3 linked regions of the Lytechinus pictus genome follow. The protein of the gene in region 1 purifies or fractionates together with the protein of each later gene. This does not show direct contact. Links are inferred from orthologs where the notes say so. Each region holds a gene or a part of one and is shown in the gene's direction. Other genes may lie near its edges.

What was found.
Region 2: the proteins of protein saal1-like (region 1) and transmembrane protein 43-like purify together in Homo sapiens (affinity purification with mass spectrometry; 3 studies listed by BioGRID and IntAct, with this or other methods). This does not show direct contact. The link is inferred for Lytechinus pictus from reciprocal best matches to the Homo sapiens genes SAAL1 and TMEM43.
Region 3: the proteins of protein saal1-like (region 1) and long-chain fatty acid transport protein 2-like purify together in Homo sapiens (co-immunoprecipitation; 3 studies listed by BioGRID and IntAct, with this or other methods). This does not show direct contact. The link is inferred for Lytechinus pictus from reciprocal best matches to the Homo sapiens genes SAAL1 and SLC27A2.

Annotation. Positions count from the first base shown.
Region 1 is NC_087253.1:7,260,537-7,267,856, forward strand, and holds the start of protein saal1-like, read left to right. Parts: upstream 1-4,312; 5' UTR 4,313-4,321; coding exon 4,322-4,528; intron 4,529-6,091; coding exon 6,092-6,214; intron 6,215-7,135; coding exon 7,136-7,219; intron 7,220-7,320. UniProt on the Homo sapiens protein: Plays a role in promoting the proliferation of synovial fibroblasts in response to pro-inflammatory stimuli.
Region 2 is NC_087247.1:40,343,498-40,350,692, forward strand, and holds the start of transmembrane protein 43-like, read left to right. Parts: upstream 1-4,090; 5' UTR 4,091-5,580; coding exon 5,581-5,748; intron 5,749-7,195. UniProt on the Homo sapiens protein: May have an important role in maintaining nuclear envelope structure by organizing protein complexes at the inner nuclear membrane. Required for retaining emerin at the inner nuclear membrane.
Region 3 is NC_087249.1:15,477,016-15,484,396, forward strand, and holds the start of long-chain fatty acid transport protein 2-like, read left to right. Parts: upstream 1-4,272; 5' UTR 4,273-4,753; coding exon 4,754-5,234; intron 5,235-6,407; coding exon 6,408-6,623; intron 6,624-7,381. UniProt on the Homo sapiens protein: Mediates the import of long-chain fatty acids (LCFA) into the cell by facilitating their transport across cell membranes, playing an important role in hepatic fatty acid uptake.

The DNA of each region.
Region 1 (7,320 bases):
ATCCAGTTATCAGTACGGTAGTAGTATCCACGTATCCGCGTATCCACGTATCTTCGTATCCATGTATCCAGTTATCAGTACGGTAGTAGTATCCACGTATCCCAGTATCCACGTATCCTCGTATCCATGTGTATCCACGTATCTTAGTATCCATGTATCTCAAAAACGTAATTTCTAAAAAAGTTAACAAGTACCGGTACGTCGTATCCGTTGTTTTCTCGTTTTAAAATCTAGAGATTTTTGTAATCGATTCATGACATTGGTTTCTAAAGGTAAGCCAAAAATTAGACATACCCCTATACTCAATTAATGATGCTATGTGCTTCCCTAATAGAGCCTGCATTCTTTAAAAAAAGTTAGGCCTAGATCTCATGTAAACCGTGCGGAACGGGTGCTGAAGCGGAGAATAGTTCGCAAAGTCAGTACATTGGTGACTATCGACTCGAGGAAAACGGCCGATGAAAGCACCATGCATTTCGATCTAGTTCATCAGTAGACAGGAATAACCGTCGTTTCTGGGGATTTATTCAACAATTTCTGACATTTTACTGTAATCCCCATTTACCGACGGTAGGGTGTACGTGTGGGCTCGCATGTGTTCTCATTCCCTCCCTTTTGTCAATTCACAGTCCAAAGTTTGATGTAATTTTACACATCGAATTTACAATCTAAGGATGTATAAACAACAAACTTTTAAAACTTGATGTTTTAACATTTAAATACTTTAAACGATATAGATGAAAAAGGCATGAAAAATATACTTTACCGATGTTTAATTGGGTTGAACACGATAAAAATGGTCAAAATGGCAGCCAAACTATAAAATATTTACAAACGAACGTCAACAATCACGAATGTGATATCGATATTGCTTTCGATATTATACGATCTGCTCCATATGCGAACGAAACCGAAGATAAACGATACTAGTTATACAAGTACTAGTACTAGTTGTAATCGCGATATATCGATTCGAGACATTAAGTTAATACGATAATGACGTCATTCAAGATGGCAACTTGCAAGAAAAACCGTCAGGTCAGGTGAAAATGTCTTAGATGACAGATTTCTCAATCATCCAGAGGATTTTTTTCAATAACTCCGGCCCAAGGTATGCAATTACTTAAGTTATTTATATTTTCCTGATAATGGAAACCATGAAACTTTCAATTTTGCTTAAAAAACAGTTTTAAATCGCGATCTATAAAACGCTAGTTCACTAGTCTATACGTTGGCTGTAGGTACGGGGCCCCATCCCCTTCAGTCTATGTATGGTGAGTGGAGCCAACGTAGTTCAGCGGAACAACCAAAATACAGAGACTGAAGCTTTTGGTCTAGTTCATCAGTTACTACCCATGCAGCTATATTGGAGGAGCATTTAAAAGATTGAGCTTTTTTGTTTTGTTTTGTTTTGCCAATAATCATATGCCAAGCTTCATGGGGGATTTTCAAACTCACGACAAAAAAATTACAAGAGAGAGAGAGAAAAAAAATTAGTTGAGGAAGTATTGAGAAAGAAGAAAACAGAAAAAAAAAAGAAAACGTAATATGTAAAGGTTGGGCTGCTTTTGATTACTTTTAATCACATTATATAGCCAAACACTGTTTATTTTGCAATTACATCTTTATATGGTCATGACTAACCAAACATGTACAGCCTTCAGATAAGCTGGACCCGCCCCTGTTGGAGCTGTGATTTTCCTCATTTCTTTCTCTGTCATCCTACTTGCATACTAGTAGGCATATTTTTATCACATATTTTTAGTAAAAGCCCTGATTTTAAATTGTGAGACACACCTACTCGATTTTAAATCCTAGTAGATATCCTATAAAAAAAAGAAGAGAGAAAAAAAGACGTAGAAAAGAAAAAGAAAAAATAAAAAGGAAAAAGAACTAAATATTTGAATTTTACTTTATTCAATTACTTTTTTTAAGAAAACAAACGTTAATAATATAATATATATGATGGCGAAAATATGATGTTGGTGACTGGTTGCCAAATAAAAATAAGAATCCCCTCCATCACACGCAACTAATCGCGCGTTTTGAGAACGCATGCTGTGATTGCGGTCATGCGTAGACAGACATGCAATGCATGTATGCACTAATAAGTTAGTGTATGCCCATAGAGATGTATACTAATTACGCTATCTCTATGTATATGCCGTAGACCTGACTGCATTTGTTTATACATAGACCAATTTAAAGTGATTTTCTGATCAAATTTTCAATCTGATTATGAAAAAGGCCAGAAATGAAAACTCACGGCCAAGATTTCTGTTTTACGGCCAGAATACGGCCAAAGAAAATTTCTTTGGCCGTGAAATTTTTTTTTTTCACGGCCAAGCTACTTTTTTTACGGCCAGATTTCGGGAATCTGGCCGGAAAAAAGGCCAGTTGGCAACCCTCATGCACATACGATGTTTTGAAATTGGCAGCGAACAATACGTGTGAGGAACTCGATGCAGGACGGTTTGATCTGCGACCCTCTGCCTCACGCATGCAATGTTTTGAAATCAGTAGCGAATAAGTGTGACTGTGAGGAACTTGATGCTTTCTTATTCTACATCCGTTGTTATTGTCAGTGTTATGCTACTCATTGCAAGTTTGATTTTCCTCTATTTATCCAATCAACAATTTTCTGGGGTAGTCTTGAGATGGTTCGTTCAAGTTGGTCCATATCCCGGGGGGGGGGGGGGGGGGGCACTTCCATTGACGTGTGGTCTGGATACCATGCGCGACCATGGGATCTCGAAAAGTGCCCTAAACATGTATTTTCCATAACATTTGGCATGTGAAACCCTACCCTTAACAACAACTTTTGTAAACAAAACGATACTATTGCCTATTTATTGGCAAGTATTCCCTGAATTGAACCCTAAACAAGTACAGCGATATTTCAATTGTTATGTTACGGACGTCGGTCGTCGGTTTTACCTTTACTTACTACTATGGGTTAAAGGGGAATCCAGCCTTGGCCATTAAATGTTGTGTTGGGAAGGAGAAAATTAAATTAAACAGAATGGTGAAAGTTTGAAAGAAATCGGACAAGTAATAAGAAAGTTATAGCTGCTTTAAAATTGAGATCACCAATACTATGTAGGTTTCAAATTGGCAACTGGGTAAGTAAATGATGACAAGGGACAAGGACAACTTTCCCATAGGCCATGTACTTTATTATCAGGGATTTGTGGTTTTCTCCTAAGTACCCATTCCCCTGGGGCAGTAATCTAAATATAACCCAGGTAGTATATTGTTTTATGTCCTCATGAAAGAAAAATATAATTTTGAAATAAAACTTTTGGGAAAAATGACATTTTAGCCATAATATGTATTGGAGTACATGGAAGAGTAGTCCTTGCCTTACATCACTATGACATCCCATATGCGGCCAATTTGAAGTCTCCATGGGTATAGTGTTTACCAATATTTACAACTTTTGAAAATTCATAACTTTCTTGTTGTTTGTCCAATATTGTTCAAACTTTCACCGATCAACTTGTCTGATTTTTCTTTTCTTTATAAAATCAAGTTTTTATTTGGGTTGGATTTCCCTTTAAATACAGCCCCACCTCCTACACCTCGCGCAAATTGTACTCTAAACATGTAGTGTTGACTCTGGACTAAAGTACATCCTTTATGAAACATTTTAGTCTTAATTTTTTATACCCTCGCAAATTTGACCCTAAACACGTAGCTTTCGTAGCGAAAAAAGATACCCTTTTTCATTATTTTAGCGTTTTTGACACTGTTGTTACGTTACGTACATAACATGCCCTATCTTGAAAAAGACATCCTCTTTACGTGTTTTTTTTGTCACGCATGGTATCCACTCTTCAATCTACATGTAAGTGCCCCCCCCCCCCCGGTCCATATCACTCGTCCAAGAACGAGGTTATATAGGGTAATTATTGTCAAATCTGTAAAAAATGAAATTTTGTATTTCAAGCATATATAACAAAAGAAATAGTGAGGGACATTATCGCATGTCTCATAATTTCCATGTCACTGAGTTGTGCATATTGATCAGTACTGTTTTTCGAAAAAAATATGCGGAACTTTTAAATGTCATAACTCATTTTACATCCAATTTTGATGAATCTTTAGCGTAATGCTAATTTGATTTGTCTTTATTTATTCAAATCTTCTGGGGTGAGCTAGACCTTTAAATTTAGATCCTAAGTTTTAGCAAATAATTACATGTAGATCTACAGCCCAAAATTAATTATAACGCAATTAAAGATTTTCAGAGATGGAGAACACCATTTTTGGAAAACAGGAAATCAATGTTTTTTATTTTTTTTATTTTAAGATTGCATTCATGGAATCCAAGGATTCATCATCATCAATCCCCGGGGATTCCCTTTTGCAACCTTTGACCTCAGAAGATGCACCAATCAGGAACCCTTCTCCTCCACCGGAGGACATCCTAACGGGAGAAGATAAGACCTTACTGGAGGCCGACACCATTCAAAACACCACGTTTAGCAAGCATTGGGTGTTTTCAATCCTTATGAAATTACTGCAGGTATACTTGAGACCCATCATTCAAAACACTTTTCAATTCTTATGAAATTACTTCTGGGCCGTGTCTTACAGTTACCAATGATCCAATCAATCGTAACTCTATGGAAATCCATCAGTGTCATAATTTTTTTTCTACAGGATATTTGCACAATGTCCTTTGTCCTATGGAAATCCATCAGTGTCATAACCTTTTGTACAGGTCTACAGGATATTTGCACAATGTCCTTTGTAAACAAAGAGAAGCATAGTGAATTCAAGAAAACAATGAATGCATGAATATGCATCTTAGTTAGAAAATATTTTGAACAAACATGCGTAACAGATGTTGACCTTGCTCGCCGTCCATAGTTGCGATTGTTGGGCCCCGTCTTACAAAGAGTTACAATTTATCCAATCAATCGTAACTCTATTGAAATCCATCAGTGTCATAATTTTTTCTACAGGAAATGTGCAAAATGTCCTTTGTAAACAAAGGAGAACACACCGAACTGTCACAAAATCAATGAATTTATGGATATACATTCGTATCTAAAATAAATTTTGAGTAAACATGCATTGTATATGTTGACTTTGCTGGCCGCTTTCCATAGTCGCAATTGATCGGATCAAACGTAACTTTTTGTAAGATGGGGGCCCTGGTATACTTGAGACCTACCATTCAGAACAATTTTTTATTCTTATGAAATTACTTCAGTATACTTGAAACCCACCATTCGAAACACTTAAATTCTTATGAAATGACTTCAGGTATACATGTACTTGAGACCCACCATTCAAAACACCACGTTTAGCAAGCTTTGGCCTTTGGTTTTTTTTAATCCTTACAAAATTACTTTCAGGTGGCCATTTCATAAAGCTGTTTGTAAGTTAATTATGACTTTAAGAGTGACTGGTGATCCTTTCTTACGTGCTAACCCATCGCCAATGAACATTTTGGCGTATACTTTTTACCACAAGAAAGGATCACCAGTCGTTCTTAAAGTCGCTCTTAACTTTAATACGAACAGCTTTATGAAACGCCCACCTTGTATATTCCAGACCCAGCATTCAACACACCATACTTATTTAGCAAGCATTGGGTGTTTTTTATCCTTATGAAGTTACTACACTTGAATCCCACAGTGGCACCGTCCATGTTAAGCAAGTTTTGGGTGTTTTCAATCCTCCTTGGAGTACTTCAGGTATACTTGAGACCTGTTGAGGCTGTTCGGATTCTATTGTGCTCAGTCCTGTTACTTTGTGTGGTACAGCTTGAGTTTAGATGAATCGTGTAATGAACTCAATCTGTATTCATTATTTTCTCAGTGAATCAGATTTTTCTTACCTAGCAGAAAATTTAGACTCTCTTTGGAATATATTTTACCTTGTTTTTTTTCAGTAAAGTTGTGATTGGGCCCATTTATTAGTGCTCGTGTTACCAAAGCAAAATTATTGTTGATATGCCACTTGTTACTAATATGAAACAAGTTTTGATGGTTTTGATTATTCTCTACTGTGGCTCAGTCTCTTTTATTTCACCATTTTTCTTGTTGATTCTTTTATCCTTGTTTTTAAATTCCTGCAGCAAGTTGAGAAAGAGCAGCATTCACAGACAGAAGCTGATGCTGCCGAATTGCATGATGGGATTGATATTGACGAAGAGCTGGAGAATGAACTGTGTCGTTTGTGGGATATGACTGCGAATGTGGTATGTGACAAAGCTTTGCACACACCACATGGTGTGTCACCCGAAAGTAGATTGTATTTGCTTCTGATATGAGAATACAAACCTGTACAAATCTTAAGCCAAAATTTCTTAATTAAAGATAAATGTCAGTTGTAACGATTTCAAAATGAGTTCGTACAGAATCCAATGAAATGACCACCAAAGTGTCTGTTTGTATATTAATAAATTAAAATTTAAAATAAAAAATATGCCGAAGGATTCTGGAAGAAATTGTGTAATTGCTGAGAAATTAGCAAATAAGCACGGGATTCGGGTCAAGCGTCGGGCCGACATTCAAAGCAATAATAATACACTGTCCCACGTGCGCTTATCTGTGTTGGTGATCTTCAGTGTGAACATTTTTCAGCGTAGATTTCAAGATTTCACAAAGTTCAGTTTATGTAACTGTACCAGGTCTAGATCCTCGATGATATAATGACAATTAAGCCTGGTTTTACAGACTTTCTCGTGAAATCAGTGTTTACTGCAACTACTTTCATTTATCTTTAATATCAGTGGTTGTATGAATACCAAAATAAGAATTCCAGGGTTATTTGGAGCCTCCCCTCAGGAAAAAAAGTGAATTTAATTCCAAGTCATGATATCAATCTTGCCATGGGTTGCAATTTGAATCTGGTTTGGGTTTTATTCCCAGACGGATAAAAAAAAGCTTGCAGTAAAGCAGAATTTGGAGTTCAGTATTCCTAGCATCAAATGTGATCATTGTTCCATTTTCAATTTATCATAAACAATGCAAATGTGTCAGATTTTATAGTTTGCAGCAGACTGGAGACTTGAGTGTAGGTTTTGACATTAGGGATGTAGGATATACCAATGATAATGATTTTTTTTTTGAAAGGGTAAATTATACTTTTTAAGTCTTCTCTTTGTCTTTTCCTTCAGGAAGTGGCCAAATTCTTACAAGAGTGGAAGTCTCCAGACATTTTCCTTAGCGTCATTTCTAAGACAAACGCTCCAAGAATAACAGTAAGCTATCAAAGTAACTTGTACGATTATTTGTACTATAGAGCAGCAGGCAAAATTTTGATTATTTTTTTTTCTTGGGGCTATTTTCCACAACTTATTGC
Region 2 (7,195 bases), on another chromosome or scaffold:
ATCTCGGAAGAATGGTCCTAGGACGTTCCTACATATCGCTCATCTCGTCATGCAACGGGCCCCAGCTGAACAACCAACATAACAGAGACCGAAGTTTTTGGTCTAGTACCGGACATGCATCACTCAAGGGTTCATTACATGCCGCCGCGCACAGAAAAATAAAGCCATAGAAGTCGTGTGTTGTGGACACCAGAAGTGGGATCGCAGCATGCGGGACCCACTAACTTTTAGTTAGAAATCCACTGCCAAACGCGGTTCATGGTGCGAGGTTAGTATACTAATACTTAGTCTTGAGCCTGAGCTGAGGACTCCATGATGATGTTTTTTTTTAAATATTTTGACATACGGTATATTTCTTCATCATGGAGTCTTAAATCCCCGTCCATATATCTATAAGAGACACATGTACACAAAGATGGATTTCAGAGGGTGAAATCGGTTTGTATTGTCAAATTTTATTTATCTATGAACCTTCAGGTGCCTAATGCGTATAAAGGGAAAAAAATTATTTCACTATAAATGGTAAAAGTGAGACGTTTCTTACCAGACCCGATCTCCCGTAGATCCCTCGATCCGTTTGTCAACAATAGACCTGACCCTTGAACAGCTTCATGATGACGTACTTCCGACTAGCGATGCCGTTTTGAAGAACAATAGATACAAATTATTATTTCACAAATACTAGAATTTAATAATTTATAAATAATTTGTAGTTTATACTAATTATTTATAACCACGTATTGACAAAGAGCTCTTCAGAAGAGTTTGTTTGCAAAAAGGGTTAGGTCCACTCCAAGAATTTTTTTTTTTTTTTCTTCCAATATTGCAATATTCTTATGTGAAATTAAATTTTCATGATACCCTACCATGACTCATGAGAACATAAAATTTGGTATAAAAGAAATCTACCTGTCTTCATATCTTTTAAAATATTCTTTTCCAAAAAAAAATCAGTGTGGACCTAACCCCTTTTGCAACTAAACTGAAATGGACCTAACCCCTTTTGGAAAAAGGTGATTTTTCTTTGCCATTTTATTTCACTTTTTAATGGGAATTTCATATTTTCTTTGGTATCATCTTATAGAGCTACTAAAAATCTATACATTGAGACAAAAAAAAAAATCAAATTTGATGAAAAATGGACCTAACCTCTTTTGCAAGTGAGCTCTTCAATTATAGATCTAGATCTAGTAGTAGATCTATAATTTATATATAGTTTTTCATTAACAATTAATATATTTTCTGACTGAAATATTGGCCTGATTTGCCGAATTTCAAATTCGTCTGCTCTTTCGGTCGAATGTTGAGGTGTGGACTGGGTGATCTTTGATGTAGCGGCTAGTTCCTAAGGTACCGTGCACGAGGTTTACTGTGATAAGAGCCGTCAACAGCGCATAGATAAACCTGATGAGCATCACGATATGAACGAGCATAATATTGGAAAGTGCCATGGAACATGCAGTTAAAAAGAAAAAAACCTAAAAATTAGTTAGCAAACACAAATTTATTAACAACATCTGCTCAGATTCGATATAAAAAATGCAAACTTCAACTTAGAATTTACTCATGATATGATATATAAAGAGAAAACAATCACACCAATTCTTTCTTACATCATTCAAATCAAGAATATCTGTACCCGTTTGGCGCGCGTGCGGAATCATGATGTAATTTGTCACACACGAAAATAGTTGTTCTTCATGCAGGGGTATGCAGCAAGTGCGATGCATGCAAAAAAAACGGTTGGTAAATATAAAATAATTTTATCATATTCATAATTTTCATAATATTTGTAATAGCAAGTATAAATTTTCCTTGATTGTATTTCCTCTAGTTGTCATTTTTGTCTCGCCTGCATAGCAGAGCGAGACTATAGGCGCCGCTTTTCCGACGGCGGCGGCGTCAACATCAAATCTTAACCTAAGGTTAAGTTTTTGAAATGACATCATAACTTAGAATGTATATGGACCTAGTTCATGAAACTTGGACATATGCTTAATCAAGTATTACTAAACATCCTGCCTGAGTTTCAGGTCACATGACTAAGGTCAAAGGTCATTTAGGGTCAATGAACTTTGACCATGTTGGGAGAATTATTTTCAAAATCTTAACCGAAGGTTAAGTTTTTGAAATGACATCATAACTTAGAAAGTATATAGACCTAGTTCATGAAACTTGGGCATAAGGTTAATCAAGTATTAGTGAACATCCTGCTTGAGTTTCAGGTCACGTGACCAAGGTCAAAGGTCATTTAGGGTCAATGAACTTTGGTCAAGTTTGGGGTATTTGTTGAATTACTATCATAACTTTGAAAATTTATGGATCTAGTTCATGAAACTTAGACATAAGGTTAATCAAGTATTAGTGAACATCCTGCCTGAGTTTCAGGTCACATTACTAAGGTCAAAGGTCATTTAGGGTCAATGAACTTTGGCCAAGTTGGGGGTATTTGTTGAATTACCATCATAACTTTGAAAATTTATGGATCTAGTTCATGAAACTTGGACATTAGGTTAATCAAGTACCACTGAATATCATGTGCGAGTTTCAGCGGCGTGGCAGCATGCGAGACCCACTAGTCATGCTAGTTAGAAATCCACTGCCAAACGCTAACGCTTAAATGCGGTTCTGTGTGCGAGGTTAGTATAAATACTAATCGCACTAGTGTGAGCTGAGTGACTAGTCTATAGATCTAGACCTTGGGCCTGTTGCATAAAACTTTTGCCATTAAAAAACTCTGGCAAACAAAATTATGCCATTAAAAATTACACATTAAAAAACTGGCGAATAATTTGCCATAGTTTTTTATGGCAAAAGGTTTATGCAATTGGCCCCTTATTGCAAATAGCATTTGTTGAGTGAGAGCGTATGTCACTGCAAAGGATCACGGGAATGAAAAGGGGGCAAACGCGAAAATGGCTTTTGTTTCGGGAAGCCATACAAGTTTAAACGCCATATGTTTTGTGTAGTGTCACTCGAAATCTGGGCTTTTTTAAAGTCTAATTTCTAGGTATTGAATTAATTTTGGATGCTTAATTGTACTCAAGGTTCGAACTCGGGCATTGGCACAGGAAAGTGCAAGGCACAACACCGGCAAAACTTCCAGGGAATATTTTATTTTTTAGACATTAGATTAGACATTCCTAGTGAAATCATTTTTTGCTATGACACTTACCAAACGATATGAAGCCACACTTTCCCTCTTGTTTGTCTTTCTATAAATATAATACTATAATTTTTGATGCTGAAGAAGGTTGTAGCTCACATCAGGGCCTGTTGCATAAAACTTTTTACCTGAGAAAACTCAGGTTGTTTTTACCAGAGTTTTTGCCCTTCGTTAAAGTCAATGGCAGAAATCAGACTAACCTTAGTTTTCTCAGGTAAAAAGTTTTATGCAACAGGCCCCAGGCGTCCATCTCGTATCCGGATTTTTCTCGTTGAAAGCTGCGAAAGGGCGCGTGGTATTATTTAATATGCTTGTTTGTTTACATCAGAAGCTTGTATTGCTGGTTGCGTTCTAGGCGCTCAGCATTTTTTTTTCCTATTGCCCTTTCATCAGCTTGTCAAAAGATGGCTTACATCACCTATAAGTTGTTACATGAGGTGTAACCTGTTGAGTTTTTGTACAATTTCCTATTGTACGCCAACGACTTGAATCGAGACTGTTATTCACATTTCGATTGTTTGCGTGATTTTGACCGCAGTATGAAAGGATCTTCGGAGCAGCTTGGCCGAGATTAATAATTTTATTTTTAAAACAATTTAGACATATATATAATCAAGAAAATATACAGATTGAAAGTGATTGCCGTCAGCTACAGCTTAGCACAAGGAGGAGCCAGCAGATATAGCTGCGCTGACGGCAATCGAGCTATCGAAGAAGAACCTGGCTGGTCCTGATCTGTTGTCATCAAAATTCGCGATTTTCCAGCTTATTTTTATACGCTTGTCTAGACGGGACGTAATATGGTATCACGCTCGGTGTCCGTCCGTCTGTTAACTTTTCCTTGTACACGCGATAACTTCAGTTTGACTTGACCTAGGCTCATAAAATTTGGTGTATGATACTAGCATGGATCCCAGGATTTCTATTGATTTTGGGGTCAAAAGGTCAAAGGTCAAGGTCACAGTGACATATTTTCATCTTACCCTTCTATCTTTATCCACCAAACACGGAGTTAGTTCCAGTCTTACTAAACCTGTTTCACTAAATGTCCCTTGATATTGATACTATCGGTAGAAAGAGCAGAAGAGACGTAGCCTTAGTCACAAAATAGCATAATTTTTAAAAAGCAAAAATATAAAACTGCAATTATTGTGATGAATTTGGATATACATTCAATCAAAATAATAGAAGAGGAAAAATATGTACCATGCATACTTGAACCATGAAGACTGGAGCATGCTATTGCTGAGAAAATGAAATTACGGATAATTCATTTCATAACAAAAAAATCACATGTGAGATGGGTACCCCTGGGATAGTAAATTTTGATAATTTACGGAAGTAAACCACAATGGTTTTCTTTGTGAAATAATGATAATTATATGTTTATTTATTGTTCCAAACATCATCAAAATATAGTCTAACATGAAATTTTTAATTCTTTAGATACTGAAACACACAATTTGACCAATTCTTTGCATAAATTAGAGATAGGATTTATCAAAATGTTAATAAGGGTCTGAAAACAACGAATACGAGTCCAGTTATGGATGACCTGACGTAGAATCTTTATCGATTCAATTATTTTACTATTTCAAAATGATCATGGTTTTGTTGCATTTTATCAACCATTTTTATAGCTTCTGTGCATTACAATTATTATTGAATGAGCTATCACACCCGTTTTGCAATGTAATTTCAACTTCTATGATTGATTACGTAAGATTATAATTTCCAAATTTCGAGGCACTTTTGAATGTCACAGTCTACCCACGTGAAAGAAGTTATGACAGGTTCGCAGGTGTCATAAATATTTAATCAGGTTGTTGTCCCCGATGTTGGCAAAGAGGGCTTCGTGAAACGGTTAGCAGACAAGTAGCTCACTATCTCCGATTTAGTCAAGAAGTTAAACTTATGACGGTGTTGAGAAATGGGCCCCTGGTAGCCTCTTGATTTTGAAGTCGAAAGTTCAAAGGTCAAGATCGCAGTGACATGTTTTCATCTTACCCTTCTGAAGTCCTTGTTAACGCGATAACTTTAGCTTAACTTAACTTAGGCTCTTATAATTTGGTGTGTATGATACGAGCATAGATCCTAAGAATTCTATTGATTTTGAGGTCAGAAGGTCAAAGGTGAAGTTACCACCTTCCACTTTTCTTGCTTGACCAATAACTCCATTTACCACGTTACAGGCGGGCGTATTATATGCTTGCCTTAGCGACACTCTTGTTGTGTGTGCTATAGAGAAGTGACAAACTAAATGACAATTTGATAAAATCCACCAGAATACAGATTCTGTCATATCTCTGAGAAAAATATTGAGAAAAGACCATGTTCAGAAAACCACCTCAGGTTCCCTAGTTATATGAAGAATTTGTTTATTTTTCAATCTGCAGTATCCAGATGATCCAGGTATGCATAATGTAGGTGGATTGCCAGGGGTTAGTGCCTCCAGACTACCATCTACCTATAGTAAGAGAGGAGACTCCACGTTTGTCGAACGTGTAAGCAACAGCTTCACAGGGTCCTTGCTAGGGCTTGGTCTTGTAGCTATTGGACTTTTCAGCATCACAGTCAATGAGGTGAATATAATTTTGATAACAGTATATATCTTATCTATATGTAGTTGTAGTATAAATATGATTTTGTCATGCACTTTTTGCTCTTTCTCTTTCTCCCTTCTCTCAAAGAGGTCCACCCTCTTTCTTGTTCCTCCTCACTCTCAACTACATGTATGCCTGATTACATCATGTTAAAACAATGGAATCTGTTCAGGTGAGTAGCCAGGAGGGGGGGGGGGGGCAGTTGCCCCCCCAAAAAAAAAGAAAAAAAGGGGAAAAGGGAGAAAAAGAAATTGTGAAGGAAGAAAAGGGAAGAAGGGTATAGCTTTATTGTTTTTTCTTTCTTTTTTGTCAAAAGAATAAAAACCTCTTTCTTATACAAAATTTTTCTTCCGCGCGGGAAAAAAATATAAAAATTGCCTTTCCCCTTTGTTTCCCACACCTTTTTTTTTCTACTCCGTTTTTCTCCTTCCCGGCCATGGTAATCGCATTCTTGCCAGAAATTATAAAGTATACATGGGTGTAAAGAGAATGAGAAGTATTTTTTTTATTGCAATGACACAAAATTTCGGCTCTTCTGTTCAGAGCGAGTTAATTATTATACCGTCACTTGATCCTGAAGTCCCCAAATGCTATTTTTTCCGCTTTTCAGCAAGCAATTTTTTGGCAAAGTATCTGCTCAAAGGGGGAGCATTGAATTCGTGCCGTGCTTTATGCAAACGTTGGTACGATGAAACTTTATTCTAAATTTATATCGCTGCACATCCATCTCCTGTCCTGTTTTGCGCCATTGATTTGTAATTTTGAATATCACAGAAGTTTCTTAATCATACAAAAGGAAGCGCTTAATATTATGAGCGAAATTACACAAATTTTTTTCCTAAAAAATAACTCACAGAAGTTTCCGCGCTTCGCGTGCATGAGAAAAGAAAAGTCCCTCTTGAAGCTTGCATTGTTGCATTTTTCTTCGTATTATTTATAGAAATATCAAAATTAGAGCAGGTTAAAGTTTCAGAGAAATTTCTAAAATTCAGAGCTTCAACGCCATTTGCGGGAAGGAATATTTCCTCCCTGCATATACCCGCATCTACTCTGTTTAGCGAGTTAAAGAAATCTATTGTGGCTAAAGCTTTTACAATCAAATCTGAAGTGACTAAGGTAGGCATTTTATACCACTTCTGTTCTCAATTTCTTTTTATAAAACGTCTTAGCTTTCGCGCTTTGCGCGGTAAGAGGAATTATTTTGAATTCCTCAATCTTTTCCCATTTTGGGGGCACTTATCTTTTCTTTTGAAAACAGGTTTTGTTTTTAATCACAGCAAGTCACATGAAATTGAGTTGATAAGGGTATTAGAGACGCAAGAGACATCTTCTTTTGATTCAAATTTGATGAGATATCAAAAACTTCCCCCTGCAGCCTCCCCCCTAGGGAGCGCGCTTCGCATACACTTACCGCCCCCTCCAAAGT
Region 3 (7,381 bases), on another chromosome or scaffold:
AGCTATGAATACAGAATGCACTGCAAAACTGTTGTTAAACACCATTTTATGGATAGAGCATGATCTTACGGTTAAATTAACACCAACGTCAGGTGCATGCAATCTAAGAATTCACAGGAATTTTGATAAGCAATATAGGAGGTAAAAATGCTTTGTCCATTTCGTGTCATGTCCGTTACGCTAACAAAGAGTGCAATTTCTCCGCGACTGTTCAACGAAACGATTTGAAATTTTATGTGTATGTAACTGATACTTAAATGTGTCTGATAAGCTTAGTAACAATTATCAAAAGACTGCTAATTCTAATGTATAAACCTTTGAATTACAAAAATTTGTCTGAACGTCATGTCCGTTACGCTGGAATTGCCCATATGTATTAACCTTCCTAAAATGTTATATGATAAAATGTTCCAAATAAAAAACTAAATGATATTGTTAAAAACACCAATTTCCTCTCCCATTTCCGTACGCAGCAAAAAATTACAATTGTTAAACTGAAAATTTTCACAAAATTCACCAAAGGTGTACATGATATCCTTCAATATACTATGAAAAAGCGCCCCTTGTCAAACTCAGTCGCTTCGCTCCCTCGCTTTGTTTCATGGAGATTTTTTTAGTCGTCTTGCCACCCCAAGGAAAATTTTTGTGCATACAGCCATGCCATCTCTCAATATGCCGACTGCCTGGCCAGATGGCTGAAATTAATTGCCATCACCACGATAAATGCTTAGAATAGTATAAGATGCATTTTGAGGACCAAAAAAGGGAATTTTGGGGAGGTACAGGCTTGAAATATCGCTGAAAAAAATATGGTTGCTAGGGAAAATGCTGTTGCTAGGCAACATAATGGTTTCCATAGGTAACAGAAAAATCTATTAATACTCAATTATTTAGATTTGAACAGATAACATGACACAGCAGGGTATAAGAATGATTTATAACAATATCATAAAACCCATTCAATGATAATAGACCATACTGATGCGTATAGTCCTATAATACACACAAAAATAGTGATATCCGTCACATGCAGGGGTTAATCAAACATGGCAATAATGTAATTTTTCATGATCATAAATGCATTATACATCCTAGTCTTCCTCTTTTATTCATTTTTCATCAAAATTCACCTTCTTTATTAGTTTTTACAAATTAAAAACTTAAAAAAATTATATAAAATTAATTAATCTGGTAAAAAAGAGGAATATTGAAAAGTGAATATGGTTGCTAGGGAAAATACTGTTGCTATGCAACAGTTTTGAAATCAAATATGTATGAAATATATATTTGGTTGCTAGGCGTTATCATATCATTCAATCTGTAGTGATTTTATCCTTGTAAAGTCTATATTTATATATAAATTAGTGTAATTGATTAACAAATATAAATAATAAGTTACTGCTTTGCATTTATCACAAAAATGGGCATGGCCTATTCAAGGCTGGTTTCCATGGTGAAGCTACACTTTGCGACACTTTTAATTCTCAGTTCTGAAAAATTCAGAAAATTTCCTTTAAAATGATGCATGTTTTTGCTTTGATCCAGTCGGGGGGATTAAAGTCCCAAATTTTGGCCTCTCGCCGCTCGCCTATATCGAGTAGTGTGGTTATCACCACGTATCGCGCGCGACCACGTCTGTATCGGAGCTTGATTGAGTCGCATTATATACGAATGTGAAAGACTATGTAAATGATTTGCGATTGTCGGATGTGATAATTATGTCCATTATAACATATATAAAAAAATACAAAGGGAACCTGATTTCGTGGGGGTGCTGCCTATGGAAAATAATACACGCCCAGCACCCCCGCTTCCCAGGTCCCTGAATGCCACAACTTTCTTATTTTGCATCCGATTTTGATGAAATTTTCAGTGTAAGTTGTTGTTGTTTGATTTTTCTCTATATTCAAATCAATATTTTTTTCTGTGGTGCAAATCCGTCAAACGGAGGGATGATGAAAGTGGCAGAGGGGGGGGGGGGATGCAAAAATCACAGTAAGATGTGGTATATATATATATATATTTATATGATTTCTTTTTAAACAAAAACTCGCACACATTCATTATCCTTGTTTTCTTCTTCTTCCTTTTGATCTTCTCATCTGAGAACGAAATTAATCTCCAACATTGTAAAATCGTATAGGTCACGCCATCTACGACAGCTGCATTATCTCGTTTACAACACGAATTATAACTTCTTTCACAAGTCCACAGTTGCTCTCATATTTCTGTACTGCAAACACAATGAACAACAACAAAAACACATTAATAAAAACAACAACAATGGAATACCCGATTATGTACTGGAAACCATGATAAAAAGGCAATTAACTTGATGCGCTCATTTCAGTGCGTGTGAGCTAATATAGGGGCAGGCCAGCTATGTAGGCCTACGGGTCAAAACTGTGTGTAAATTGGAGGGGGAAAGGTCATAAGCGAATGAACTAGCTAAAACTGGGACCTTTTTTTAATGAAAAATGTAATTTTGTGATAGAGTATGATATAATGTTAGGTAAACCACTATGTCTCATAACTGGCTTGATCCTCGCCCCGCCCCCAAAAGGAAATAAAGATTACTTAGTGTCGTATATAATAATCAAACACTTTCTGGGGGAATGACAGGGTCCCTGTAAGCCTACTCCTCTGACATCTGCAAACCAGTGAGACAAAATAAATATTACATTATACTGCTTAACTATAGATTTTGAACAAATATCATCAACTTAATAGCGTGTTATACAGATAAGGCCTAACCTAATTGCCTTTGTCATTGAAAAAAAAAAATGATAAACATAACCCAGGTCTGTTCAGTTTAGACATAAAATGCTGTAAAAAAATCCAAACATGATGGGCACAGTTGCAAAAGGGGTAGGTCATTTTTTCATCAAATTTGATTTTTTTTTTGTCTCACTAGACTTTAAATTGCTCTATAAGAAAATATTAAAGAAAAGTTGAATTTTCCATTAAAAAGTGAACAAAATGGCAAAAAAAATCTCTTTTTTTCATAAGGGGTTAGGTCCATTTCAGTTTGGTTGCAAAAGAGGTTAGGTCCACATATTTTTTTTAGAACATAGTATTTGAAAAATATGAAGACAGGTAGATTTCTTTTATAACCAATGTAATGTTCACATGGTAGGGTATCATGAAAATTTAGCTTCGCATAAGAATATTGCAATATGGGAGAATTAAAAAAAAAGATTTTCTTGGAGAGGACCTAACCCCTTTTGCAACCAAACTCTTCTGAACAGTTCATTAATTTTGTCAAACATGTCAAAATGGGTTAGATCAAATTTTCATAAATTTCGTTGTTTTCAATAGATTTTTAGTCGCTCTGAAAAGCCTCTGATGATATCAAAGAATATGAAATAACGTGAATAAAAGTGGCAAAAAATTTCTTTTATTCAAAGAGATTGGATTCACTTCAGTTTGCTTGCAAAACGGGCTAGGTCCACAATGATAATTTTTGAAAAATATATAGAAAAAGACAGGTAGATTTCTTTTACACCCAATTTTATGTTCATAATAGGCCTACTTAGGGTCATTGGCGTAAATCCCGGGGGGGGGGGATATATCCCCCCACTTTTTTGAGAGGGGCCGGGGATGGCGTGTACAAATATTCCCCCACTTTTTAAGAAAGAAAATATATTTTAATTGATCCGTTAAATCTTTGAATATCTGTCATAAACAACCATCATATTTTAGAATTTCTATTTGAAAATGCGATTGAAAACCCAAAAAGTTGTTATTTTTGGCTTTCTCGCTTTGCTCGCTCATATTTTAGAATTTCTGTTAGAAAATGCGATTAAAAACTAGAAAAAAATTTGTTATTTTTGGCTCACTTGATTCGCTCGCTCGCAAAATAAATATTAAAATGTGTGTAAGAGGGTCTGTGGGGGTCAGTGAGAGTGTGTGCTTATACCTATAAGTGTGAGATCGACAGAAAAAAAAAAATCGTCAAAACAGTCAATCATCCCCCCCCCCCCGGCCCCCACTGCACTCCTCAGAGTGGATTTACGCCGGTGAATAGTGTAAATCATGACAATCTAGTTTCTCATAAGAATATTGCAATAAGTGAGAATAAAAACATGATTGTTCTCGGAAAGGTCCAAAGTGGTCAGGACCTAACCCCTTTTTTTGCGACCAAACTCCAAAATACCTCTCGATTGCCGCAGCCGCAGCGGATTGTTTACAAAAGCGTACCGTAATTTCATTCACGCACACGATCGAGGCCGCGCCGAGGCTTGGCCAAAATTAGACTCCGCCCTCATTTTTGTTTCGCAACAATTTTTCGTGTGCACATTGCGAGCCATGCATGACTAGCATCGATTGGTAACATTTTCTGTCAAATTTTCACTTAATTGAACATTTGATTCGATGATTGGAGACACTCTCTGGAAAGTCAGTTGCGAGCTTCACCATAAGAGCAGGTTTAAGATTTATTAATATTTCGTTTTAGACTTTATTTTTGCAAAACATACGGTATGGTACATGCCGTATTATTATGACAGTCAGTGATGTTGTGATCATGTGTGCCGCATCTGCAGCGGACTCAACACAGTACAGAGGCAGTGAACCGGCCGAAGGCCTGTCTCTCCGGGCTTAATTATAAATTAACCCTGTGGCTGTGCCGTTGTGGAAATCTCCTAATTCGGCCTTTCTGGCCGCCAAAATAACTGATTTATCATTCTCTCAATTTGTTCACTCTACCGGCAGTTACATAGGCTCTCGATCTCGTTTATGTCCAATTTCCAAGATGGGAGACTGGGAAGTTTTTGGATTTTCTGCCCTTGTTGTGAGCCTCATCGTGGCCGGAGTGAAGAGGAACTCCATTGCGAATTTCATTCAGGATTTTAAAGATGTATCCAGCTTAGCCAAAGCTCTAATTGGCATCAAAGGGGCAGAAAGGAAAAATAAAACTGTCATTACTGTCTTAACGGATGGAGTGTCGCATTATCCAGACCGTCCCTTTTTGCTCTATCAAGATGAAAAATACACATACAGAGATGCAGAGTCAGAGTCCAACCGCATTGCCCGATGGGTAAAGATGAACTCTGATTTGAGCCAAGATGAAACAGTGGCAGTCCTCATGAAGAATGAACCGTCTTTTATATGGATGTGGCTAGGTTTTGCCAAGCTAGGAGTTGGAACAAGCCTTCTCAATTACAACCTGAAAGGAGAGAGCTTGATGCATTGCATGAGAATTAGCAATGCGAGATACTTAGTGATGTCAAGAGGTACATGAAAAAGGAAATTAAAATAATGTGTATTGTGGATGAATTGAATATTCATTTTTTTTTTCCTGTTATGGGTCTAGTAATAAGCTCAAATAATTTCTCTCGATCAATTAATTGGTAGAGTATTGCAAATTAAGAATGGTTCTTAAATGTATTGTAGGCCTATAAATCATTCATACACGTACAATTTACTTCTGGGCTGGTTTTACTTTTACATGTAAGAATTAAAAAAGAGAGAAAAGTTCCAGTGATAGATCAAATTGAAGATCCAGTCTCACAGGTTTCTTATACATTTTACCTTTGTGGAAAGCCATGCAATTAATTTCTTATCAACTCGTATTTCGATGTTACTTTGATGAAATGAAGATTGAAATGATAGAATTGAATCAAATTTCCACTTCCCTAGATAGGAAACCAACTGTTTGCCAACAAATGTTTTTAACCATGTTTTACTACAACTTTAACAAGCACATAACTTGCCTCCGATGATATTTGTCTCTGCGCTTCAAAAATATATGCTTATTCCCACTAAAGTATAGTTGAAAATGAACACTACTTTCCCTCAATGTTCATTTGTTTTGCATCCATGGTACGAAAATACATGTAAAATTAACAAATAATCTCCAGAAGTTACATGTAGGCTCCAAAAATTATTAAGCACATTTGATATCATAATTGATATTAAAATTCAATGAGAGAAATAAATTATGCTTTGACATTAATGATTAATTAATTTTTTTTTCTTCTAATTTTGGTTAAATCTAAATAAAAAAAGAAAAAAAGAAAGGTCTATCAACCCAAGGTCGCTCTTCAGTACTTTGCACAGACTGATATTTTGGTCTGACCTTTTAATTTTCTCAGATCTTATTATTCTATTGTCATTCAGTTTTACATGTAATGATACATTTTAAATTTTAATCCAACACATGACTTGTGAATGTCCTGTTAAATACATAGTGAGTTTGCAAAGACGGGATTTTGGTTTGTTTAAACTCTTAAAAAGTTTGAAAACACAGGTCCTGTTCCCAAGCTTTAAAAGACTGATTGATTAATACGGAGAAGTCATAACCTCCCACTTCCCTGATTGATATTGCGGTGCAAGAAACTCTATGCGTACCTCTGTCGTACACTCACCTGAGCACTATTCTTATTTCTTACTGTTTTTCCATGTAGCTTTCATCGACATTGCCAAGGAGCTCCTTCCTGAACTGCAGCAACTTGGAATCAAAGTATGGGTTTTGGGTAGCATCTCCAATGGTACAAAGGTTCCTGATGGAATGGTTGCCATGGATACCGGTCTCGTGACAGGAAATCCACTCCCAGCCGATCATCTAGCTCCCATCACCCATAGCACAATAGCATCTCTTATCTTTACCTCTGGTACTACAGGTTAGACTACAGACTGTTTTTCATACTTTCTTGGTTCAATTCCCTCTACCCCAAATAAATAAAAATTCTGAAGGGGGGAATGTATTTCTTTCCCAAAAGTACATACATGTACGTTGCAAAAACTTGCAATTACTGCATGTATCTTTTCCAACCTGCAAAGTCTACTGTAGATTCTTCATATGAAGTCAACCTTTGTGAGTCAAATGAGCGCTTATCTCTGACAAAGCATTGGGTATTTTAGGCCAGAATATGCAACATTTGTTACTAAACGTGGTTGATATGAAACTTGAAAATGAAGCTATTAAAAAAGTTCATATTCAGCTTGAACTACAAAACCAAGGTGTTGGGGAATGACCTTATGGAATGTAATCTATTATTATTTTATCCTACATTATGTTATCCTTAGGTTGTAATTCCACTTCCATCAATAACATTGAATGCTTCCGATAGTATTGTTCCAGGGTTCAAGGTCAAGGCCTGAAAACTATCTGGCGTTTGGTGCGGGACAATCATGAGATCATCATTATTGAGTAATTGAGGAAGTTGGCTTCCTTCCAGTTCAGAAAAACTATTTGGTAATAATAAGAGCAAGGTTTTTCAAGTGTCAACAAACCTCCACTGTGGCTTGTGAGCTTGTCATGAAGGCCATTGTAAGGTATGGTTTGGAGAAATAGGCTACTATCGATGTGGTCATTAGAGGCCTTTTTATAAAGTGTTAACATTTCTTTTTTCATTTTGTTCATAATTTTTTTAAAGAC